Linked DNA regions of Drosophila melanogaster. The protein of the gene in region 2 interacts with the protein of the main gene of each other region in a pairwise test. Each region holds a gene or a part of one and is shown on either strand. Other genes may lie near its edges.

Region 1 (11,311 bases), on a different chromosome or scaffold from region 2:
AGAATATCATTTAGGTGTTCCAAATGAGCTAAGTAAGCTTCTTTTCATTTAGAATGCGCTTTTAAAATCATGTTTAGTTAAGCAATGTATATTCTATTTACTTTTGTATTCTTAATTGCATAGCATAGTCTTTTCACTGCAATCTGCAGCCTTTATCTTACTTATTAGTTCCCAAGATCTCGACGTTCTTGCGGTCTGACAGTCGATGAACATATTGATATGGCTAGATCGACTTGACTGATGATCCTAATCAAAAACGTGCCCGCACACTCTTTACTCTAACGGATATACAAACATCTTTCTAACTTTTAAAAACTTTAGAAGTCTTAAGTTTATTTAATTTTTGAGGCTGTTAGCTGATATGTTTTGTATTCCCTCAGAGATTATGATCTGGTTGTCGTTGGTGGTGGCATCGTCGGCGCCGCATCTGCCCGGGAGATTGTCCTGCGCCATCCATCCCTCAAAGTGGCTGTCCTGGAGAAGGAGTGCAAGCTGGCAAAGCACCAGAGCGGCCACAACTCCGGCGTCATCCATGCTGGCATCTACTATAAGCCTGGAACCCTGAAAGCCCGCCTTTGCGTGGAGGGCATGCATTTGGCCTACGCTTATCTGGATGAAAAAAAGATCCCGTACAAGAAAACCGGGAAGCTAATTGTGGCCACGGATGAGAAAGAAGTGAAGCTGCTGAAGGATTTGGAGAAGCGTGGCATTGCCAACAACGTACCGGATCTGCGAATGATCGAAGGCAGCGAGATTCAGGAGATCGAACCCTACTGCCAGGGAGTGATGGCGCTCCACAGTCCGCACACTGGTATCGTTGACTGGGGATTGGTTACCGAGCATTATGGTCAGGATTTCAAACAGTGCGGTGGTGATATCTACCTGGACTTCAATGTCAGCAAGTTTACCGAGACCAAGGAGGGCACCGACTACCCAGTGACCATCCATGGCGCTAAGCCCGGTCAAACGGTTCGTACCAAGAACGTATTAACCTGTGGCGGTTTGCAATCCGACCTGCTGGCTGAGAAGACTGGATGCCCCAGAGACCCCCGCATCGTGCCTTTCCGTGGAGAGTATCTGCTGCTGACCAAGGAAAAACAGCATATGGTCAAGGGTAATATTTATCCGGTGCCGGATCCACGTTTCCCCTTCCTGGGAGTTCACTTTACGCCGCGAATGGACGGATCTATCTGGCTGGGACCAAATGCCGTTCTGGCTCTGAAACGCGAAGGTTACACGTAAGTCTTCTTAGAGCTCATATTTAAACTTGTCTGACACTTCACTTCTTCCAGCTGGGGTGACATTAATCTTTTCGAGCTTTTCGACGCCCTGCGCTATCCGGGCTTCGTAAAGATGGCGAGCAAGTACATCGGTTTCGGACTCAGCGAGATGTCCAAATCGTGGTTCATTAACCTGCAGATCAAGGCGTTGCAGAAGTACATCCCGGATATTACGGAGTACGATATCCAGCGTGGTCCCGCTGGAGTACGTGCCCAAGCAATGGATCTGGATGGCAATCTGGTGGACGATTTTGTTTTCGATCGCGGACAAGGATCGGGAGCGCTAGCCAAGCGAGTGCTTCACTGCAGAAACGCCCCATCGCCGGGCGCTACTAGTAGCTTGGCCATTGCCAAGATGATCGCAGACAAGATCGAGAATGAGTTCTCTATCGGCAAGTGATGCCTCTATCCCAAATAATGTAACCAAAGTCCAAAACTAAGTCCTATTTTCTGTTCTGCCTTTATGTCAGTAATGTCTGTACTGATTCGCCACTATCGCATTTCTTTTCGAAACTGTAATATTGATCTATTGTGTATAAAACAAAATTAAAACTTGTGTAGGTTTCTAAGATAGCCTTTAATTCAGTTCCAGTATATGTCGGTTTCTTCTTTGAGGTGAATCATCGTCCTTAATGCCCAACACCTTAATCTGCTTCTGTAATGATTTCTCCTCCAAGGCAGATTGTATCAGTTTTGTGCACTTTTTGTTTAAAATTTTCAGACCGTTTGCAGCATGCTGACGCATTTGAGGATCACAGGATTCATCCGCTTCAATCGCTTTTAAAAGGCGATAAATGGGGAGTAACATTTCCTGGTAATCCAGAAGGTTCTCCATGCCGTTTAATAGTTCAGCTAAGACCAGGACTGCTGCACGCTTAGAGGGAACATATCCTCCGGTGGTTAATTCGCTATTAACAAGTTGGAGTAACTCGTGGAAGAAGTTCTGCACTTGAAAGGCCAAAAGGCGACAAAGCTGGGCAAGATTGGCAAAGGCTGACATCCGGAATTCGTGAACAGGAGACCGGGAGCCGTACATGAAGCAGTTGAGAAGAACAGCCTTGTATCGAAAGCAAAGAGGACCTGGATGGGATTAGTATGAAAGTTTAGGAGTTATTCTTAGCTGTGTAGAACATTGCTTACCCAACTCCTGAGCGACTTTCAGAATAGCTTCACCCACTACGAGGCGGTAGTCTAAGTGAGCCGTCTCTGATAGGTACTCATCACTCAATTTGTCCAGCACATCGGACTCCATCACATGAACAAGCGACACAAAGAGCCGAACACAATTTAAGAAGGTGTAGGATTCCTTATCCTTGAGAGTGGTCAGGGCTAACGCTATGATAAGTTGACCCTGCGCTAAGGTAGCAGGATCTCTTTTTTTCAGCAAATCAATCATCATCTGAATTCCATACACTTGCATGTGGGATTGTTTTTCCTCTATCAAGGACCGAGCTCTTTGAAAAGGTTGTATTTTAACAGCCTCACTTGGTCGCCATGCGCCGTGAATTATTGTAAGCAATGATTTTACAGATTGCTGGATAAGAGGGTTGGAAGATCGAGTACCCAACAGGTGCAATTGTTCTTTCAGTTCCTTACAGGCCTCTGAAAGTTGAATATTCTCACTGCCCTCAAGAATTTCCTGCAAGAGGTTTAGAACGAGAAGTAGGATCTGATCCGTGGTATCTTGCTCTCTAGATCGGTGGACAAGCAAGTCTTTTAGTATATGTAGAAGCTCCTTGGTATGTTGTGATAGCTGAGCTCTTAATGGTTGGTGGGCTACCATTTGGTTTAAAGCAATGAGCAAATCTAGCTTCAGTTGATATTTGGAGTGCAGAAAGTCTTTGAGCTCTGCTTCTGATGAAATAAAATCTACGCTGGCTGAAGATTTATCATTTATCTGTTTAGCTATGAAGCCCAGAAGAGAGAGGAAAACTTTGCAGGTGAGGGAATGATGAGAGCTTGATGTGAGTAGACCGGGCAATATTCTGCCCATATCGTGATCTGCTAGATGATCTTTGTGAGCTACTTTAACCTGAATTTGAGTTGTGTTCATGGAAGGCAGGATTATAATGCGTGGGTTTAAACACTTCCAAGGAGGTTCCTTCTCAATTTCCCATTTAAACAGCTTCTGGAGTATCGCAGGTAATTCGTTTTTCATTTCTCTGTTGTCCAGACAACGCAAAATAATGGCAGAAATCTGCGATGACGCCGGTAATTCCATTGGAAGGCCATCGTAGAGTTGGAGCAGCAAAGGAAGGTAGGGAACGAGTAGATTACTGGGTAAGCAAGCTACGGTTGAAGAACAAAAGAGATGCTGCCATAAGAGAATGCGATTGCACAGTTCCTGGTGATCCATTAAGATAAGGCCATTAATAATGTCTTCTGGGTTACAAAGCGTTTCCCAGTGTTTGAATAATATTTCTTTTATCAGCTTTTGATTTGTATCACTTAAATCGTAAAGTCTTCTGAGCGATAGGACACCGGCGCACATTTTGTCCGCATTCTGCAGATAGAACTTACAATATTCTAGCACCTGGAGAACCATCTTCTCTTGCGCTAACTGAGAAAATCCTTTTCTGGCCACAATACTAGCCACAATTTCCGCATTTCTGGAAGAATTCACATTGGGATTTTGATGCAGGGCCTCAACAAGACTAGCAAATCCTTGGGGTAAGTGAAGCTTTCCTAAGAGTTGACGGTGCAATAATTGGGCCAGAGTTGGGCAGAGAGTCGTAGCTTTAAAAAGCAAGATGTTGCGAAAGAAATCTGCTTTGGATTCATATTGCCAGAGGTAGGCTATAGCCTTATCCAGCAGTGGAGAGTCTTGCTGCACACGTAGACTCACAATGGCCGCCAGTAGATCCCTTTGCACCAGCTCCATCGAGTTGGCTATGTGGTATTGTCGAATATGCAGTAGATTAATAAAGAACTGAATGCTTAGAAGCATCAATGAAAAGTTAGCTTTGATTTTCCCCTGAGCCTCACAAAAGATGGGCGACTTGTAGAAATCCTCATGTAGCTGGCATCGAAGCGAGTAATATGATAATTCTTGGGAAGCCTGGATACACAATTTCAGGTGCGCTACCGAAATAAGATCCTCCTTGGCGTCGCTGTGGAAATTAATGTTCCTCATGATCGAATGTAGCACATGTTGCAATCTTATTATATAGCATATAGTACGATCCGAATCGGGATCAATACTAGATTCGTGATCGTCTGTTAACTGATATTCCAGGCACAGCTCATGCAATTGCTGACCAATCTCGAGTTTAGCATATTTTTCCAAAATTCGCAGGTTGATTTCCAAGGCTTCGGCAGTCCCTGAGTTATTCGCCGTATTTGCTGTCGAAATATTAGTATTAGGGATACTACAATTATTATATGATGTTAACCAATTTACCTAGAGCTTTACTAAACCTTAAACTCTCTAGAAGAGCAAAGTACTTGGCCGTATTTATCATTGTTATCCCAGCAAACTACAATTTTGCGAATTTAGCGACCATTTGCTAGAGATGCTTGTTTACAATTGCACCAGCACAATCGATAACATATTGATAAGGGAAACACGATGTTGGCAGCATAGCTAATTAAAACTGCGCGATAGTTTAATGCAACTGTAGCTATATGTTTTATTGAAAGTAGAACCATATTATCTTTTTAAATTGGATCAAATTACAAAAAATTGTTATCATAAAACCTATTTTGTAAACGGGGATTTCCTTGTTTTCAGAATTTCGAGATTGCAACCAACTTATCTATATATCGATAGGCGGCTGCACCAGCCGCGGGTTGCGCATCTGACTGCAGCAAAGCGCCCTGGTCACACTGGCCCAACAACTCGAGAGCAGCAGGAAAATCGAACAACTTTCTTTTTCCACTGCATTGTGTGTGTGCATGCAAAAACACAAAGTGCGCAGAATAGCTTTATTCAGCTAGCCGATACGACTCGAAAGTGGATTAATTGGCCAGCGGCACCGACGCCCCGCCCACCGTCAGCCGCCCTCGCAAAATTAAAAATTGCCAAAAACACCTACGCGCAGGCAATTAAGACCGTGTTAGCTAGTGTGCGTGTGTGCTCGCGAGTGTGTGTGTGTGTGTTGTGCTGCTGGGGCAGTAAACATTTTCTAGTGAAAATCGGGGGAAAATGAAGAAAATCCTGTCTAAGTTCGAGCGCAATGAGAACTCTCGACTGGAGAATCCGCCCAACAGCAGCAGCTCGTCGTCCTCGAACGAGAAGAACAGCTTCGTGGGCAAGGTCTTCACAGTGGGACGCGTCACGGTCACCGTGGAGGATGTCCTGGCAGAAGGTAGACGACTATATATACACTCTTATATATGTGCTCCCATTCCCCTACCTACAACACGTCGCCCGCGATTATGCTTATCACCTGCCTGATTTACAGGTGGGCAGTAGCCTGCCGTCCGCTTTTCGGTCTCGCCCCTCGTCACAGATTAGATAAACCCCTTCAGCGCGAGAACTCCCAAATGTGGGGCGTACTCAAAGCGCTAGAGAGCATAAAAATCAGCTGCGTATCCTCCATAATTGGGGACACCACTTGTCGCATTTCCGATTAAATCCAAATAAATTACTCCCAATAATTTCTGTATAAGATGTTAAACTCAAAACAGCTAAAATCTGACTTTGATATATTATCTTTTAATAAAACTGTAAAACATTTTAAATTATTTCATTAATTATGAATACTAAATACTGGTTTGTAACCTAAATTCCAACTAATTGAACTGCAATTTTGCCCTTGGCATAGAACTACATATTTATGTCCATAACTCGGCTCTCTAATGGCGTGCAGATATTTCGTCCAAATTTATGTCAGTCTTTAAAGAGTTTATTTTTGCCAAAACCAGAAATGCCAGCATTTCTATTGTGACAAATGGGTGTCCGCGTTAGAGAAACCCGACTGTACAAACACAGTTACGGTTCTGGTTGGTTTTTCCATGGAATACCCATTGAATTCCCGTAGCCACTACACATGGCCACAAATCAATTGAATCAATTATGTTAATTTAGCCAATGAAGCGGCAAGACCAACACTCATCAGCCGACTGTCTCCGACAGTCTTCCGTTTTTCACCTTTCGCCGAGCTAAATGGCAAAGTTCGCCCCTAAGGAAATCGCCTGTGCTGTGTCCTTGTCCTTGAAATGCGGAGTGCTCCACTCCACATCATCCTGCAGTGCAAGTGCCTCCTTGTTGGCCTGGCACCAGTACCCTCCGCCCAACATTTGATCATCTAACGATTGCTCACCCACCGCCTGGCCAGCCATTCGCCACCTTTCCTTTAGCCATTACGTAGTGTTTTTTACTTTTTATACTTTTGGCAAGCGGACTCGATTCGTAATTTTGTTTTGCGCTGCGCTGGCGCCGCTGGCAATTAGTCAGCTGTTGTCGGGCATACCCTGTAATTAAAAAGGCGGAGCGTTTGACGAACACGGTTATTTGGTTAAAGTTATTGAATTAGTATAACAAATTATAAACTAAATTATATATTATTTATTAATTCATTTAATCCAGTAACGTAACTATTGGTATTTCATTTAAGAAAGAGAAAAAATAAATAGAGTCTTTTGCAGATGCTCAATGAATAAAATGCGCGTATAGCCAAGTTTAAACTGCTCGATATGCTGGATACTTCCAAAGTAACACTGTGCTTAATCACCTTCAATATTTACCTGCTTTCTTTGATTCGATTTTTGAGCAGCCAACAACAATTACAAATGACTAAGCGACAAACGGTTAACGAATGAAGCTTTCCCGCCTTAACCCCTCAGCCCCCACCCTTAACCGCTTACTGCCCACCTTGCAGTTGACGCCCCTTCAGACGTATTTTCTACCCTCGTTTGCGTTTCGAATTGCCTTCTCGCGTTTTCTCGCATCGCTACAATTGTGCATTGTTATTGTTGCTTTTCATACTATTATTACTGGATGTTGTTGCTGTACTTTTTGCCAATGTTGATTTGTTGCTGTTGCAACCTTCAGCATTGATTAACATTTGACGCCATAATTTCACAAAGTCGAGCAAAAATGGTTACATTTGCTGGTCCGCTATTCACTTCTCTCTATCGCCTACACAGGGAGAAATGGTGTGTGCATTTACAGCAAATGTTCCATAAATATTTTCAATATTAAAACATTCTCCTAATCGTTGCATCGTCTATGCATCTAATGTATTGAGATCATTTTTTTTTCTAATATCATTTCATTTTATATCTAATATATATTTTTATGTTTTTTTCTTAGTGACCACTGTTCCTATCTTTTTATTTTGCCGCCCCACCGCCTTCCCCCGCTGAGTATTGTTATTGTCGCATGTTATTGTTGTTATTTCTGTACGTGACCTTCAATAGTTTAGTTTATATTGCGTTGCCTTTTTATCGTACATTTTGAAGTGGCGTAAAGCGACAGGTGGAGAGGGCTGAAATGTGGGGGCATTCTACTTGAAATTCTATTTGCAATAAACTGAAATAAACCTCATGCAAATGGCCTGTTAGGCAAAACATGTGTAAATCGTTCCATGGCCAGACAGTAACTGCTATCACTCGAATTCGGGTACCCTCTACTATTTTAACACCACGGGGGGATATTTGTGAACGTGAAATGTTTATAGTAAAGAAATTCCATTATTATCACGTAGATATATGGCATAAATTATGTGGGAAGGAATGGCCAAAGATACGTGTGCTATAAAAATGTGACACATATTTCCTTTTAATAAACAAATTAGTTTATTAATTAGCTACTTCCTGCCATATAAAATAAAATATTCGTATATATGTATTATGAATATACAATAACAGGGTATTCATCGGGTTTAGCTTACTCGCAGTTTCCTCCCCCATTCAAATATGCTATGTTGTTTACAGCTGACAGCTGTTATGGATGTCTAGCCCGTCAACTTACCCCATGCTCTAATGCTCTGTTTTTCTCTTCCCCATCTCTTCAAAACTCACGCAGGTGGTTTCGCCATGGTCTTTTTGGCAAGGGGCAACGGCGGAGGCAGTTCCTCGGCGACCAAGTACGCCCTGAAGCGCATGTACGTCAACAATGAGCACGATCTGAACGTAGCCAAGCGGGAGATACAGATTGCGGTGAGTAAATAAATCGGGACAAACAAACCTAATCTAATAGGGCAATCACTTTCACTCCCCCAGAGCAACCTGAGTGGGCACAAAAACATCATTGGTTATGTGGACTCCAGCATCACGCCCACGGGAAACGGGGTGTGCGAGGTGCTACTCCTGATGCCCTATTGCAAGCATCACATGCTGGCCATGATGAATGCGAGGTAAACGAAGTGAATCTAAAAATGTAGTCCATTTGATTGCGGAATTCGAATGTAATCCAATGAAATTCGCCACAGATTGCACGTTGGCTTCACGGAGCCAGAGGTGCTCAACATCTTCTGTGATATTGCCGAGGCTGTCTCTCGATTGCACTATTGTCAGACTCCGATTATCCATCGGGATCTTAAGGTGGAGAACATTCTGCAAACGGACGCGGGCAACTTCGTACTCTGCGACTTCGGATCGGCAACGGCCAAGACGTTAAATCCTCAACAGCACGGAGTCACCGTGGTGCAGGAAGAGATCCAAAAGTACACCACTCTATCTTATCGGGCTCCCGAGATGATCGACCTGTACGGGGGCAAGAGCATAACCACAAAGGCGGACATCTGGGCACTGGGTTGCATGCTCTATAAGCTGTGCTTCTTTTCCTTGCCATTTGGGGAGAGCACTTTGGCTATCCAGAATGGACAGTTTTCCATTCCAGACTCCTCAAAGTACTCGAAGGGCATGCACCAACTGATTAAATATATGTTGGAACCCGATATGGAGAAGCGACCAAACATTTGGCAAGTTTGCGAGGTGGCCTTTCGACTGGCGGGCAAGGATAATCCCGTTCAGAATCTCCATGTGAGTGATGCATAATGTTTGTGTTCAGATTCCTGTATGATAATCTGTTTGCTTATTTTTAATCAGAAAACTCCCATTCCAAACTTCGACCTACTGGTAGTGCCTCCGTTTGAATCGGAAGCCAAGAGGATCAGTGCAGCGGCCTCCAAGGCGGCGAAGGCTCAGAATGTGTCAGTTGTGGAGGCGGGAACCAGTGTAGCTCCTCGGTCTCGTCCTAAGGGTTCCTCATCGGTACATGGAGGAAATCCATTGGGTCTCGGTTTGCCTCCCAGTCCCTCGCCAAGACAGAATATCACTTCTCCACAACCCCAACCTCAACCTGTGGTCGAGCAGTTCCAGGCCAACTTCCCAGCTATGCCACCTGCTGTTCCTCCACCTCCTCAAGCTGTTACTCCGGCAGCTCCTGCTGCCAGTAAACTCTTCGAGTCAAGTGGCTATCCAGATCCATTCAATGAGCCAGCTGCAGCAGTAATTCCTACTGAATTTCTACCAGCAGCAGAAGAACCTAACAAGGAGGAAGTGCCTCAGGACTTAAACGTCATTGCAGGCACGCCCACCAAGAGCATGTTGACACCGCCCAAGCCAAGCGGAGGAGGTGGTCATAGGCGTAACGTAAGCGACACCTCGGCCTTCAATAAGTAAGTTGCATACAAGAAAACAGAAGCTAATCTAAAATCAAGAATACACATTTTGATTCTACAAATTTTAATTCCTATCTTAGTTACCTGTTTAAGCACAAAAGTTGTGTCTTGTTATCGTTTTTAAAGTTTACTCGGCCAGAATCAATATAATTGCTTTCCCCCAAAGGTTTCAGCCTGAAAATTAAGATATATGGTTTCATAAATATTTAAATATTCTTGATGTTAGACATTTCCAAATGCGTTGGTCCTGCACGATCTGTATGTGTTCTGTGTTCTGCTCTTCTCTTGCTCTTTTACTCACTCTCTGCTTGTCTCTTTCTGTGAATTCCCGATCCTTAAGAGCTACAAGTGACCAGGATGAGGCCGATGAGCCACAGAGTCAATAGATTCATTGTAGCCTTAAGATCTCTTGCATTCCCGTACTTACTTTTCCTGCTTTGCTTGCTCTTTTTCCTTATTATTAATTTTCTTCCATCACTCGCTGATCATCTAATCATTCATTTGTTTTGTTGCGCTCCAGAACTTTTGCCAATGAGACAAGTCAGTTTCTGGCTCCGTTTAACAATAACTTGGCTGCCATGGGCGACGGTCAGCAGACTTTGGCTAGTGCTGCCTCGAATCCCGGGATATATGCATCTTCAACGGCAAACTCAGCCGCGGTATCCATTAGCGAATTAATGAAACCAGGACAAACGGCGGTGGAAAAGCGAGTTGAAGCCTGGAATCCGTTCGAAGAGGAGCAGCCTTTCAGCCAGATGACTGAGGATCACATCTTTGAGGCGGAGTTCGACAAGATACGACAGAGAGGCAGTCAAGGAAGTACGTTTTGGAAGAGAGCGTTTTGCCGCAATATTAACTTCTTTAATGCTTTCAGGCATCACAGCAAAATCGGCATCCACAACTTCCACGCTAACACCAACGGAGCAGATTCCCTCTGCGGTTGTGGCTCCTGTTACAGCTGCTCCTGGTGCAGTGCCTCCTCCGCCGATTGCTGCCGCTGTGTCTCCTTACCCGTCGCAGGTCTCCGAGGATCCATTCGGATCGGCGCCATTCAGTTTGCCACCCGGACTGCGCGAGAAGGCGAGCTCGCTGCGCAAAACCGGAGGTAAAGCATGAAATTCTACCTTAACTGTTTGCAATGCCAGAATACGTTTAGTTTTCCGATTGTCGCTTTTGTTCGCTCTCAATCTCAATCCAGAAAGTGAAAGTGATTTGAACGTAGACGTAGACGTAGTCTAAAAACTTCCTAGTAACGCTATGCTCAACTCAGCAAAGTGCCGCCAAGGCGATCTCCTCGATATCCTCCATCCAAGGAGCCGCTTCCAGACCACATCGGCAGCCGCCGTAAGATTCGATCAGCTCCAGCAATAAATTAACCGTATACTAGCCGATCGCTGCTCGATCGAAAAATTTAGCGTGCCATATAGATGGGGAATGACCCGCGAATACTACTTAAGTGCA
Region 2 (11,311 bases):
GTTTACCTTGTGTTTGGAAAACATAAAAGGGTTTCGAAGGCGATGTTCGTGCGTTGGCTGTTGTAGGGCGAAAAGATCCATTAACTACTAGTTACTTTGTATGTAAATTAACACAAACTTACCCCTTGTTATTGATGGTTAACGGCAGTTTGTCCAGAGAACATTAACGAATTTAAGGTTAGTTGTCAATATCGCAAACAAAAAATTGCGAATGCTTAAATAAGCGAAAGAGAACACAAATGTTCTACTAATATTAGTAGTGAGGTGTGAATAAATATAGAAACAAAAAGGCAACGATTTTGGTCAAAAGTTAAAGAGCTGCTATGCTCTGTTATGTTGGCAAAATTATATCCATTCGTTCATTTATCATCATATGCATTTGGATTTTATATGTGTTATGTGGATAACTGTTGATTCATTTGTCCATGTCGTTGGTGTTGTTATAGTTGTTTGAGTTGTTGTTGCTTGCAATGTGGTTGATTTTATTAAAGCTGCTGCTGCTGTTCTTGTTGTTTTTGTTGTTGTAGCTTTCCACGATCCACTTCCATTTCGTCCCATGAGCGCGTTAGCGTATTGTTGTCCCGCCTACTCGATGGCCTGGCCGGGTGCTGGTCCGGGTCCTGCCACGGCTTGGGCGAACTGGTGATGTTGGGCGGCATAGTAGGTGGCCGGCATGCTGAACTGGTTGGCATATGGATTGGTGCCCGGCGCAGCGGCGGTAGTGAGAACACCGGCCGCATCGTACATATAGGCGGCACCGGGAGCCGGAGCCACAGCTGCAGCTGCAGCTCGTCCGGCGGCTGCTGCAGCGGCAGCAGCTACGGCCGCAATCGTTGGCGAATTGGCTGGCGTGTATTGGACCAGCGAGCTGGTCACCGCAGCCGACGGAACATACTTGTTGCTTTCGTCCTTGGGCGGCTTGGTCTGTTGGCCAGCCTGCTGCTGTTGTTGCTGATGCTGCAAAGCCTGCTGACCGTAGTGGGTTACTCCTTGTTGCTGGTACTCCCGCTTGGGATACTGCTGGAATCGTGGCGGCATGCCACCGGCACCAGCTCCCTGCGGCACAAACTGGCTACGTCCGCGGTATGCTTGTGGCATATACTGTCCGCCCTGCTGGGGTGCCATGAGCTGCTGTGGGCCACCGCCTACGCCGGCTGCTCCACCAGCTCCGACGCCGCCACCCTGATGGCCCATAATGGCGCGTGGTCCGCCATTGTTGAACGGAGCCCTCGGGCGATAGGTGTTGCCGTTTCGCTGCTGTTGTCCGGCTCCTCCATCCTGTCCCATCTGGTTCATGCGATTCCAATTAACGCCACCACCAGCACCATTCTGCAGATAGGTATTGCCGCCAGCGGCATACTGCTGGTAGCTACTGCCAGTTGGGGGGCCGCTGCGATTGTTGTTATAGTTGTTACCGGCCTGGTAATTCAGCGGATTGTTGTTGCGCTGCTGATAGATGCCGTTGTTACCGCCAGTGTTGCGATCCCCGCCGCTGTTGTTGTTCCAGCGCTTGTTGCCGCGATAGCCGCCCGAGCTGGGCATCGAACGAGCAAGATCCAAAAGAGCCTGCGACGGCGTCTGGCCAGCCTCCTCGAGCACAGAGATCAGTTCACGGGCCTGCTTGGCATTGTCAGGCGTGAAAAATGTGTAGGCAGTTCCCAGCTGCTGGCAGCGACCAGTGCGCCCGATACGGTGCACGTAGTTCTCCGAGGAGTTCGGGTAATCATAGTTAATTACGTACTGCAGATCCTCGACATCGAGGCCGCGCGAAGCCACATCGGTGGCAATCAGAATGTTGGACTTGCCGTTACGGAAATCCTTTAGCACTGAATCACGCTCATTCTGGGTCTTGTCGCCGTGAATTGAGGTGGCGTTGTAACCCTCGGCTCGAATGATCTGCAAGATGTCCTCCACCTGGATAAGGGCAAGAAAACGGTTGATAATTAGTGGGGTGCTTCTAATTAATATCACATAAACAATATATTCTTGACGGGTCATTTCGGATTTTTGCAAGTAAAATGCAACTATAAAAAACAAAGAATATGTTGATAAACCTTCGAAGTAAAACGAAAAGAGAACAAATACAATTTAAAATGGTAAATCGAAAGAATATTTCGAATTCTTTAAGCCATTTATCGAATTAGAACTCACCTTGATCTTGGTCTCCACAAAGACGATAATTTTGTTCCCATTGTTTCCCGAATTCTTGATGGGAGAAATCTCATTGAGCAAGCATACTAAGCGCTGCGGCTTCTCTATTTCTGTACAGATCTCGACAATCTGGCGAATGTTGTGGTTAGCCGATAGGTTCATCGAACCAATGTTGATTTGGATATAATCGTTTAAAAAGTCTCCGGCTAGGGCCTGCACCTCCTTTGGCCAGGTTGCGGACCACATGACCACCTGACGGTCGGGACGAATCTGTTCAATGATCTTACGGATCTGCGGCTCGAAACCCATGTCCAGCATGCGGTCGGCTTCGTCCAGCACCAGATAAGTGCATCTCTGCAAGTTAGTGTTGCGATTCTCAAGGAAATCAATCAGACGTCCTGGTGTGGCGATGATCACCTCGACGCCGCGGTCAAGATCGCGTGCCTGCGGCACCTTCGATGAGCCGCCAAAGATGCAAGTGTGACGAATCTCTGGCTTGCACAGATGTCCATAGTCTCGCACGACAGATTGGATCTGCTGGGCCAGCTCCCGGGTGGGGGCCAACACTAGAGCAATGGGTCCTTCGCCGCGAATTATTGGCGGCTGATTGCCAATGTGCACGATGGCAGGCAGCATGTATGCCAGCGTCTTGCCTGAACCGGTCTGGGCAATGCCCACCAAATCGCGGCCACTTAAGGCAATGGGCCAACCCTGCGATTGGATAGCAGTGGGCTTGGTGAATCCCTGGCGCTTCATCTCTTCAATGACGTGAGCGGGCAGCGAGCTCTCCTCGAAACTGACCACCGGGTGTGGTAGTTCATTGCCAGACACGGTGATTTCCAGTTCGCGCCGGATCTCGGCCACCTGCTGCTCTGATTTGGCCAGTGTATTCGGATGAATGTTGTAGAAATCTTTGAGGAAGGGCTCGAGGTTCTCCCACTTGGGTTTCACTAAATTTCGGCCGGGATTTTTGGCCTTTTCACGTTGGATCTCGGCGCGCTCCTCTTTGGAAAGCATGCCTAAGGCGGCAGCATTGTAGTTATTGCTTTGGTAGCCACCAGCAACTCCGGCGCCGTTGTTCGGCTTCTGATAACGCTGTGCGTAGGTTGGATTTTTGCCACGCTGTCCTCCATATCCGCCAGATCCTCCGGATCCGCCACCGGCGCCTCCTCCAAGTCCATTACCGGCGAATGCAACACCGTTTTGCTGGCGATACGGATTGCCGCCACCAGAACCGGCGGCTCCCATTCCCAGACCATTCTGGATGCCATAGGTCATCACGCCATAGGGCTGACCAAAGTGCATGCTTCCAGCCGCAGTGGCTGCTCCATTGATGCCAGCTCCCCCGGCGGCACCGCCGAAATTGCCGCGCGGATAGTATTGACGCTCGTGGCGTGGGGCCCCGTTGCCGCTACCGCCAGCGCCTGCTGCGGCACCATTGCCATAGTAACCGCCGCCAGTGTGCTGCTGAACGCCCCCAGCGTTGGGTGCATATGCTCCAGCGAACATCGTGTGCTGAATCCTGTCGAGAAATGAACAAAAGTTCAGCGAAATCGCATGGAGATACCTCGCACACACCACCACAAAGACTTTGCACTTTTGTAACTGTCAAGAGCCTCTCTCTCTCTCTCAGAGTAAAAATAAAAAGAGAAACGAAACGCGTTTGACTTTTTGGGCAGGGGCTTTATGGCATGAGGGAGGGGGTCGGACGAAGTGGGGGACTTAGTTTCGAATGGTGAAGAGCGGGGCAGTTCTTTAACCCACCCACTAGCCACCACCGAAAAAAATCAATACAGCATCGCCAAATGCACACGAGACGCAAAGAGGTAAAATAATAGCGGGAGAGCTAAACCAGGCGCGAGAGAGACAAGTAGAGTGCGCCGCAAAGGGAAAGAAGAGCGAGCATGCTCTCATTTAGTTAGAAAAACACTTTTAAAAAGTGCACCGCGTTTTCACGCCACACACACACAAGTAGAGTGCGCCGCATAGGTAAAGAAGCGCGAGCACGCTCTCATTTAGTTAGAAAAACACTTTTAAAAAGTGCACCGCTTTTTCACGCCACACACACACACGCACTCACCTTTTTTCTGTTGCGACAACTGCTGCCTATGTGTGAAAATTTGGATGAGCCTTGTGCGGGGAGCTTTAAATTAATGTAATTTATGCGCCGCAATTTGACATTTGCCCCTCAGGCAACCGGAATTTTGTGTCTTGAATGTGGGTTTTTCTTCGGTTGTCAAAGTCTGCGATTTTTCGATCCGTTTCCTTCACGTTCTCTTTCGAGGCCCTGTTCCGTTCGATTCGATATTCTTCACTCTCTCGCTCGGCTCTCTTCGTCACGCTCACAGGCGTCTTCTTCTCGCGAACTTCTCTTTTTGCTTCGCACAACTTTTGTCGAGAGCTAATGGTTTTGCAATTATTCCTTCGCCACGGGAAAGTAACCGTAATGCTAACTAAAGGTGTACTTGGTTAAACACTAGGAGCCAGTTCGCTAAATCTAATTCTTGTATTTTAGATTTTTATAACAAAAAAAAACGCGCTCAGCAGAAAGTTGCATGTGAACTGTAAAGCTGGAACAAAAGTCAATGGTGATGGGATACGTTCGATGTATTTTGGCATCGATAGTTACCTGCAAAACTATCGATAAATATTGTTTAACCATTATTGCACTTAATTTACCGCTAAAATTTAAAACCAACAAATACTAAAATTAAAAAACATTTAGCGAGTTACCAAAATAAATTGATATATAAAAAATACAAGAATGATATCTAGATAAAAATAAATTAAGCACGTAAAAAAAGTTTTGTGATACCAATTCTTAAAAGGCTACACATATGTACATATATATAAAATATACAAATATAAGTGGGTGTTATATTGCAATTTACATAAATTTGGAATTATTCCTTTCCCCCCTCCACATTTAAACAAATTGTTGCTTTTTTTTTAATTCTTTAATTTACTTATCAAATGGAAGGCAAACACTTTTTACGACCGAAAGTGAAAACAATCTAGCTAAGCCCACAATTCGGCTACAAATTAATTGAATGTCTTAAACAAGTGCATTTAGGTGATGAAATCTCCAACGGCACATATATTGAAAGGCGGATAGCCTTATTGCATAGGCCGGAAAACAGTAGCATCTGTACGTACAGGTATACGCTATTTACACGATTTTATTCCCCACTGATATCACAAACATCATCATCATGTGGAAATCGAAGGGACTTCAGGCGGGACTTCAGAAGGGACTTAGTTGGCGGCCAGTCGCACAAGCAGCTTCCGCCGATCCTCATCGATGGTGGTCAGGAAATTCTGGACGCGTTCGCTGTAGAAGTCAGTCGCCTTGGCCAGCTGGCAGCTCTGCATCCTCTCCGCTCGCCGAAAGTCGTCCAGCTGCCAGCGATCACGCTGGTAGGCCAGAATGCTGGCCAGGAAATGCCAGAAAGTGATCTGCGGCCACAGGACGTTGCTGAAGTACAACACGGATGTGCTTAACTGAAATGGTAAAAACAGTCGTTTAATATTTAAGCTTTTCCACTTTATCAAAGACCGCAAAACTGTCAAGATCTCAATTTTTAAATGCATTTTATAAAAATGATGCAATCGCAGAGCGAAATTCAACGAATGAACATTGGGCACAGGTAACTACTTAATCACTAATCAAACTAAATAAGTGGGAAATCTGCCAAAGGGGGTGACTAAAAACAACTGTTCCTGGAAGAGATCCTTCTACACACCTGCCACATCATGAAGTCGCTTAGCCTAGTCTCGCCGGAGGTGCGGAACACCAGATCCGGTGGCGGCGAGTGTCGCGTGTAGAGGCATTCTTCCAGCAACCGCTCACTGATGTCCTCGCCCGCCAAATCCTGGCTGCCATGCCGCAGTATCGTTTCCACCGCCTGCGTAATCTCATCCCGCGACGTGTACGCAAAGGCGACGTTCAGGAAGAGCTTGTCATTGCGCTCCGTGCTAAGCATAGCCGAAGCCACTAGTTTCTGCAAGTCGTGTGGCAGTAGCTCGATGTTACCAATCACCCGAATGCGGATGCCATGTTCGTCCAGTCGAGCAGTCTCCTCCAGCAGGCGGGCAAACTTCTCTCTGGCCAAATTGAACAGACCCTCCACCTCCTCGTTGGAACGCTTGAAGTTCTCGATGCTGAAGGCAAAGGTGGTCACCTCGCGGACGCCAACGTCCAGGCACCAGCGCAGGCAGTCCGCAAGCTTCTCGAATCCCCGCGAATGACCCTCGATCTTATCAATCTGCTGTGAGCGGGCGAACCTCCGATTACCGTCCATCACGAAGGCGACGTGGTGCGGAATGTAGCCACAGGCGCGCAGCGTTCGCATCGCTATCCGCTCCGTCCATGTGTACTTGTAGTCGGAGACCCACGACATGGTCTTTGAATTCAGCTGGATTAAGATTGGATGTCAGTCAATTAAATAAATAAATATTTATTTATTTTTTTGCGGTGTCTTGTGATTAGACCGCTGCCAATCGACTATTACGCTATCGATACTTAGAACCTTTTATATAGAACGCAGTGTGACCATATGCGATATTTCGGTATTTAGCATAGACTCCAACCGACACGATGAAAATGTGGCCGTTGTGAGATATAAATGTAATACCATTAAGCAGATACACGAACCAACATCGATAGAAGAGTAGCCCAGACATCAACCGTCTACGAAAATAAGCGCAGAAACTGCAGTTATTCGGTTTTTTTTGGAAGTCTTTCCTCTGGCGTGGCTTTTAATTATAATATAAGTCTATCTGAAACTAATAAATGTTTCATAAAAGTGCTAAACCAATTAAAAGACGCACAAAAAAGAATGCATTTTTAAATCCACCTGGGGTTTGAAGCCCCGACACACTCCCTATCGATAAGCTATCGCCAAACATCGCAAAACTCAGCAACCCTGTCATTTTGACAGCTACGTCAACCTTCTTTTTTGATATCCGGTTAACGCAAGTGGTTCGTCTTTAATTTTTCCCTCTTAATTTTTGCGAAAAAAAACCCGACTTTGAGCCCCTAAACTTAAAAAATGTGCCTTCCTCCAGAGTGTTCAGAGCGTCGACTGAAAATGACAAACAAGCTGCCCGGCAGCTAATTTTTTTTTACATTTTTTGTTTTGTTTGTTCGCACGCATTTGTTTTTATTTGTGAAACACGTGGTATAAATGTGGAAATTCCCTTGCTATTCCCGCAGTTGCTGATCGACAAACAAACCCAGAATGGCACCCAGGAAGGCTAAAGTTCAGAAGGAGGAGGTTCAGGTCCAGCTGGGACCCCAAGTTCGCGACGGCGAGATCGTGTTCGGAGTGGCTCACATCTACGCCAGCTTCAACGACACCTTCGTCCATGTCACTGATCTGTCCGGCCGTGAGACCATCGCTCGTGTCACCGGAGGCATGAAGGTGAAGGCCGATCGTGATGAGGCTTCGCCCTACGCCGCTATGTTGGCCGCTCAGGTGAGTTGTGCGCTCTCCGGTCCAGTTGGAGCCCGTCTAACGGTTTCAATTCCCTCCAGGATGTGGCTGAGAAGTGCAAGACACTGGGCATTACTGCCCTGCATATTAAGCTGCGTGCCACCGGCGGCAACAAGACCAAGACCCCCGGACCCGGCGCCCAGTCCGCTCTGCGTGCTTTGGCCCGTTCGTCCATGAAGATTGGCCGCATCGAGGATGTGACGCCCATCCCATCGGACTCCACCCGCAGGAAGGGCGGTCGCCGTGGTCGTCGTCTGTAGATGGCAGTATCTGGAAAGCAGTAGTCTATGTTTGCGGTCGAAATACAATACTGCATTTGTGTATGCGATAAGAAAGCTTTTCTGTTCGTGTGCATAGGTGCACTGTAATAAACCAGGAAAATACGATGTAAATGACTACAAGACATTTTTGTGTGTGCATTGGGTTCGGTTTGGGGTCTGCAAGTGCTGCAATATTTGATTTATAAGGACATTGGCGAAATGTTTACAAAAATTGCACATTACAAGCCGAAGAGTTGCCACCCTGGCGTGCCCAACGCGGTGGTAGCCCGATTGCGCCATCAAAGTAACTATGCGTCGATAACTATCGCATTACCAGCTGTGTTGTTTTTGCCTTCTTTTTTTCGCATCCGGCGCACGCAATTGGTTGGTTTTCTGCTATTTCTCCCTTTTTTTGTTCAATTTTACTGCAATTGACTTATTTGGCGGCAAAAGCGAAAAGTTGCTGCTAAATATGATTCAGTGATTTAGCATAAAATGAAAAATTTTGCGGACGCCGTGAAAGTGGTGGCGAATTAATTTGTTTCTCCCCCATTTTTTTTTGTGTTGTTTTTTTTTTTGTAGTGATTTGAGCCGGCAAATAAACATGGTGTTTTTTTCTCTTTTAGTTGCTGATCGACGACCAGACTCTGCAGAATGGCTCCAAGAAAGGCTAAAGTTCAGAAGGAGGAGGTTCAGGTCCAGCTGGGACCCCAAGTTCGCGACGGCGAGATCGTGTTCGGAGTGGCTCACATCTACGCCAGCTTCAACGACACCTTCGTCCATGTCACGGATCTGTCCGGCCGTGAGACCATCGCTCGTGTCACCGGAGGCATGAAGGTGAAGGCCGATCGTGATGAGGCTTCGCCCTACGCCGCTATGTTGGCCGCTCAGGTGAGTTGTGCGCTCTCCGGTCCAGTTGGAGCCCGTCTAACGGTTTCAATTCCCTCCAGGATGTGGCTGAGAAGTGCAAGACACTGGGCATCACTGCCCTGCATATTAAGCTGCGTGCCACCGGCGGCAACAAGACCAAGACCCCCGGACCCGGCGCCCAGTCCGCTCTGCGTGCGTTGGCCCGTTCGTCCATGAAGATTGGCCGCATCGAGGATGTGACCCCTATCCCATCGGACTCTACCCGCAGGAAGGGCGGTCGCCGAGGTCGTCGTCTGTAGAAATGGATCGTGCCACCCGCTTTTGACGCTGCTTTATATTCTTATACTATTAAATACATGCATAAATGCAGTGGCAAGGGCATGTTTTTTGGGCTCATGTGTTTCATTGTGGCCAGTGGCAACGCGTCGTTAGGTGGTGCTATCGATAGGTGATGGTTGGGACCACCAATGGTATGTGCAGGTGTAGAGCGGTCACACTGGATGAAATTCAAGACCTATCGATATCCTGATATACACGCCAACGAAGACCGTGTGTGGATTCGTGGAGCAAATCGAAGTTGGCAGGATTAAAGGCATTCGCGAACGCAGAGGCAGCAGCTAAAGGGCCACCCATGCACCAAAGAAACAAACTAGCTGGCCCAGCGGTTCATTTATCTGCGACTAACAAGCTAAAATCGGCGTAATTGGCAAGTTCAATGCACGACTAATATATTTGGCCACACTTGCCAGTGTATGTTTGTTCGTGTGCGTGCCTGTTTGTGTGGTGTCGTCTCCGTACGTGTTTGTGTGTGTGTCCGCGACGAGTATGTGTGCGCACATATTCGTATATCTGCAAGACTCGCGGATGAAACAGCGTGAAAAGTGAGCAAAATATCGGGGAAAAACGGCACGGTACGGCCACAGAACGGAACGGTACGGTGCGATACGATATCGAGAAAAGGCCATCAGCCAGAGTACTCCTCGATCCGGAAACGGATAATGGGGATATAGATGATACAGCCAATAGCTCCCCGAAAGCCACAGCACACAATAGGTCGGTCGGTCGGTCGGTTGGTTGGGCGACGTCGCCGAGAGTTAAACATCAAAAATCAAACCCAGGAACCGACGGAGCTAAGTGTCAAGTGTTTGGTGTTGTGAAATTTTTCGTTTCCAGCTCTCCGTTCAGCGTTCAGCCAATTTGCCAACCTTTTCCCCTCTTTAATTTGTTATCCCCGGACACCACAAGAGTTTCGATCAAAATTTTCAATTGAACGCAACATCGCCATAAACAAAAACATAAAGGTAAAATTCGGCCACTACCCAAACAACAAAAAAATAAAATCATAAGAAAAAATCACGCAGTAACGTAGAAGAAGCAGCAGCCGAAGCCGAAAAAAGACGAAAAGAAAACTTGTTTGAAAAGGCCGAACCGAAAGAAGAAAAAGAGCAGCAGCAGCAGCACAGCGGCCAAGTTTGGAAGAATTTCAGAATTTCAGCGTGCTAGGAACGGAGCAGCGGACCGGCGACGTCACCAAATAAACGCCCATCACCATGGACGAGGATGACAACCTGTCCAATGCCGACATAAGCATAGATGACGAGGAGGTGGTGCGGGAGCAGACCCACCATCCGCCCATGCAAGAGGATCAGGAGCTGGATAACGAAGATGGGTCATCCGACGTGGATCTGTCTTCGGTGTACGTCGTGCCACCCATAGTCTCGGCACCATCGCCCGCATCAGTGCGCATCGCTGGTGGATCCACAATTGGTGGCGGAGGGGTCGCAGCTGGAGCAGTTCCAACAACCACCGATAACTCGCATTCCCCCTTCCACGATTGGGATTCCAGTGTGGCGGCCGCTGCTGCTCCACCGCCGCCACCGCCCAGGACAGGACCAACTACAACTACAAGCTCCGGCACAGCCGCGGAATCGGGAGCCGCGTCCGCCTTATCCGACGATGCCGGCGCCAAGCCAAGTTTCTTCTTTGGCGCCTCCTCGTTCAGTTTGCGCAGCCGCAAGGAGGTGGCCGCCCTGATCAACACGGAATGCTGCCGTGGCAGCCCCACACCCGATCTCGACTCCATAATGGATACCCTATTCAATCCGGGGACGCCCATCGACAATCTGGACAACATCGAGTGGATACGATGGCTCATTGCCGGCGGACGGACGCCGCAGGAGTTTGTTAAAATTGGTACGTCCCAATGTGTGCATATCGATAAGTGTGTTGCATTTTCTATCGCCAAACAGCTGATCGCAAGTCCGTTGCCCCTGAAACTCTGACCGAGCATGTGTGTGTTACCTGCGTTATGTGTGTGTGTGTCTGTGAAATGTAATGGTTGTAGGGCACGCAAAGAAAAGGTAGAGAGGAAGAGAGCATAAAAGCAAGGTGCAAGGCAGCGTGAAGAGTGCGAGTGCACCACCATGGCAACAGCAATCAAGCGCACTCTCTCGCACACACAGCACACTCACTACACACACATATGCACTGATTAGGGGAGTCAACTTTAGCCCAATTTAATCTCAACTGCTCATC

The links.
Region 1: the proteins of mahe (region 2) and Tango6 interact in a two-hybrid assay, tested with the Drosophila melanogaster proteins (one large-scale study listed by BioGRID).

Annotation. Positions count from the first base shown.
Region 1 is NT_033779.5:18,962,529-18,973,839, reverse strand, and holds Tango6 (transport and golgi organization 6), read right to left. Parts: upstream 4,813-11,311; 5' UTR 4,742-4,812; coding exon 4,681-4,741; intron 4,623-4,680; coding exon 2,421-4,622; intron 2,361-2,420; coding exon 1,858-2,360; 3' UTR 1,836-1,857; downstream 1-1,835. Other genes in the region: L2HGDH (L-2-hydroxyglutarate dehydrogenase), read left to right, coding at 381-1,238, 1,293-1,680; Nak (Numb-associated kinase), read left to right, coding at 5,425-5,587, 8,251-8,384, 8,448-8,581, 8,657-9,209, 9,276-9,847, 10,371-10,669, 10,725-10,955. UniProt on the Drosophila melanogaster protein: May be involved in protein secretion and Golgi organization.
Region 2 is NC_004354.4:7,926,643-7,937,953, forward strand, and holds the start of mahe (maheshvara), read right to left. Parts: upstream 4,741-11,311; 5' UTR 4,232-4,740; intron 3,674-4,231; 5' UTR 3,661-3,673; coding exon 2,152-3,660; intron 1,915-2,151; coding exon 586-1,914; 3' UTR 123-585; intron 58-122; 3' UTR 1-57. Other genes in the region: Dhdds (dehydrodolichyl diphosphate synthase subunit), read right to left, coding at 5,407-5,652, 5,895-6,551; RpS14a (ribosomal protein S14a), read left to right, coding at 7,392-7,628, 7,688-7,906; RpS14b (ribosomal protein S14b), read left to right, coding at 8,561-8,797, 8,857-9,075; Ubr3 ubiquitin ligase, read left to right, coding at 10,327-10,969.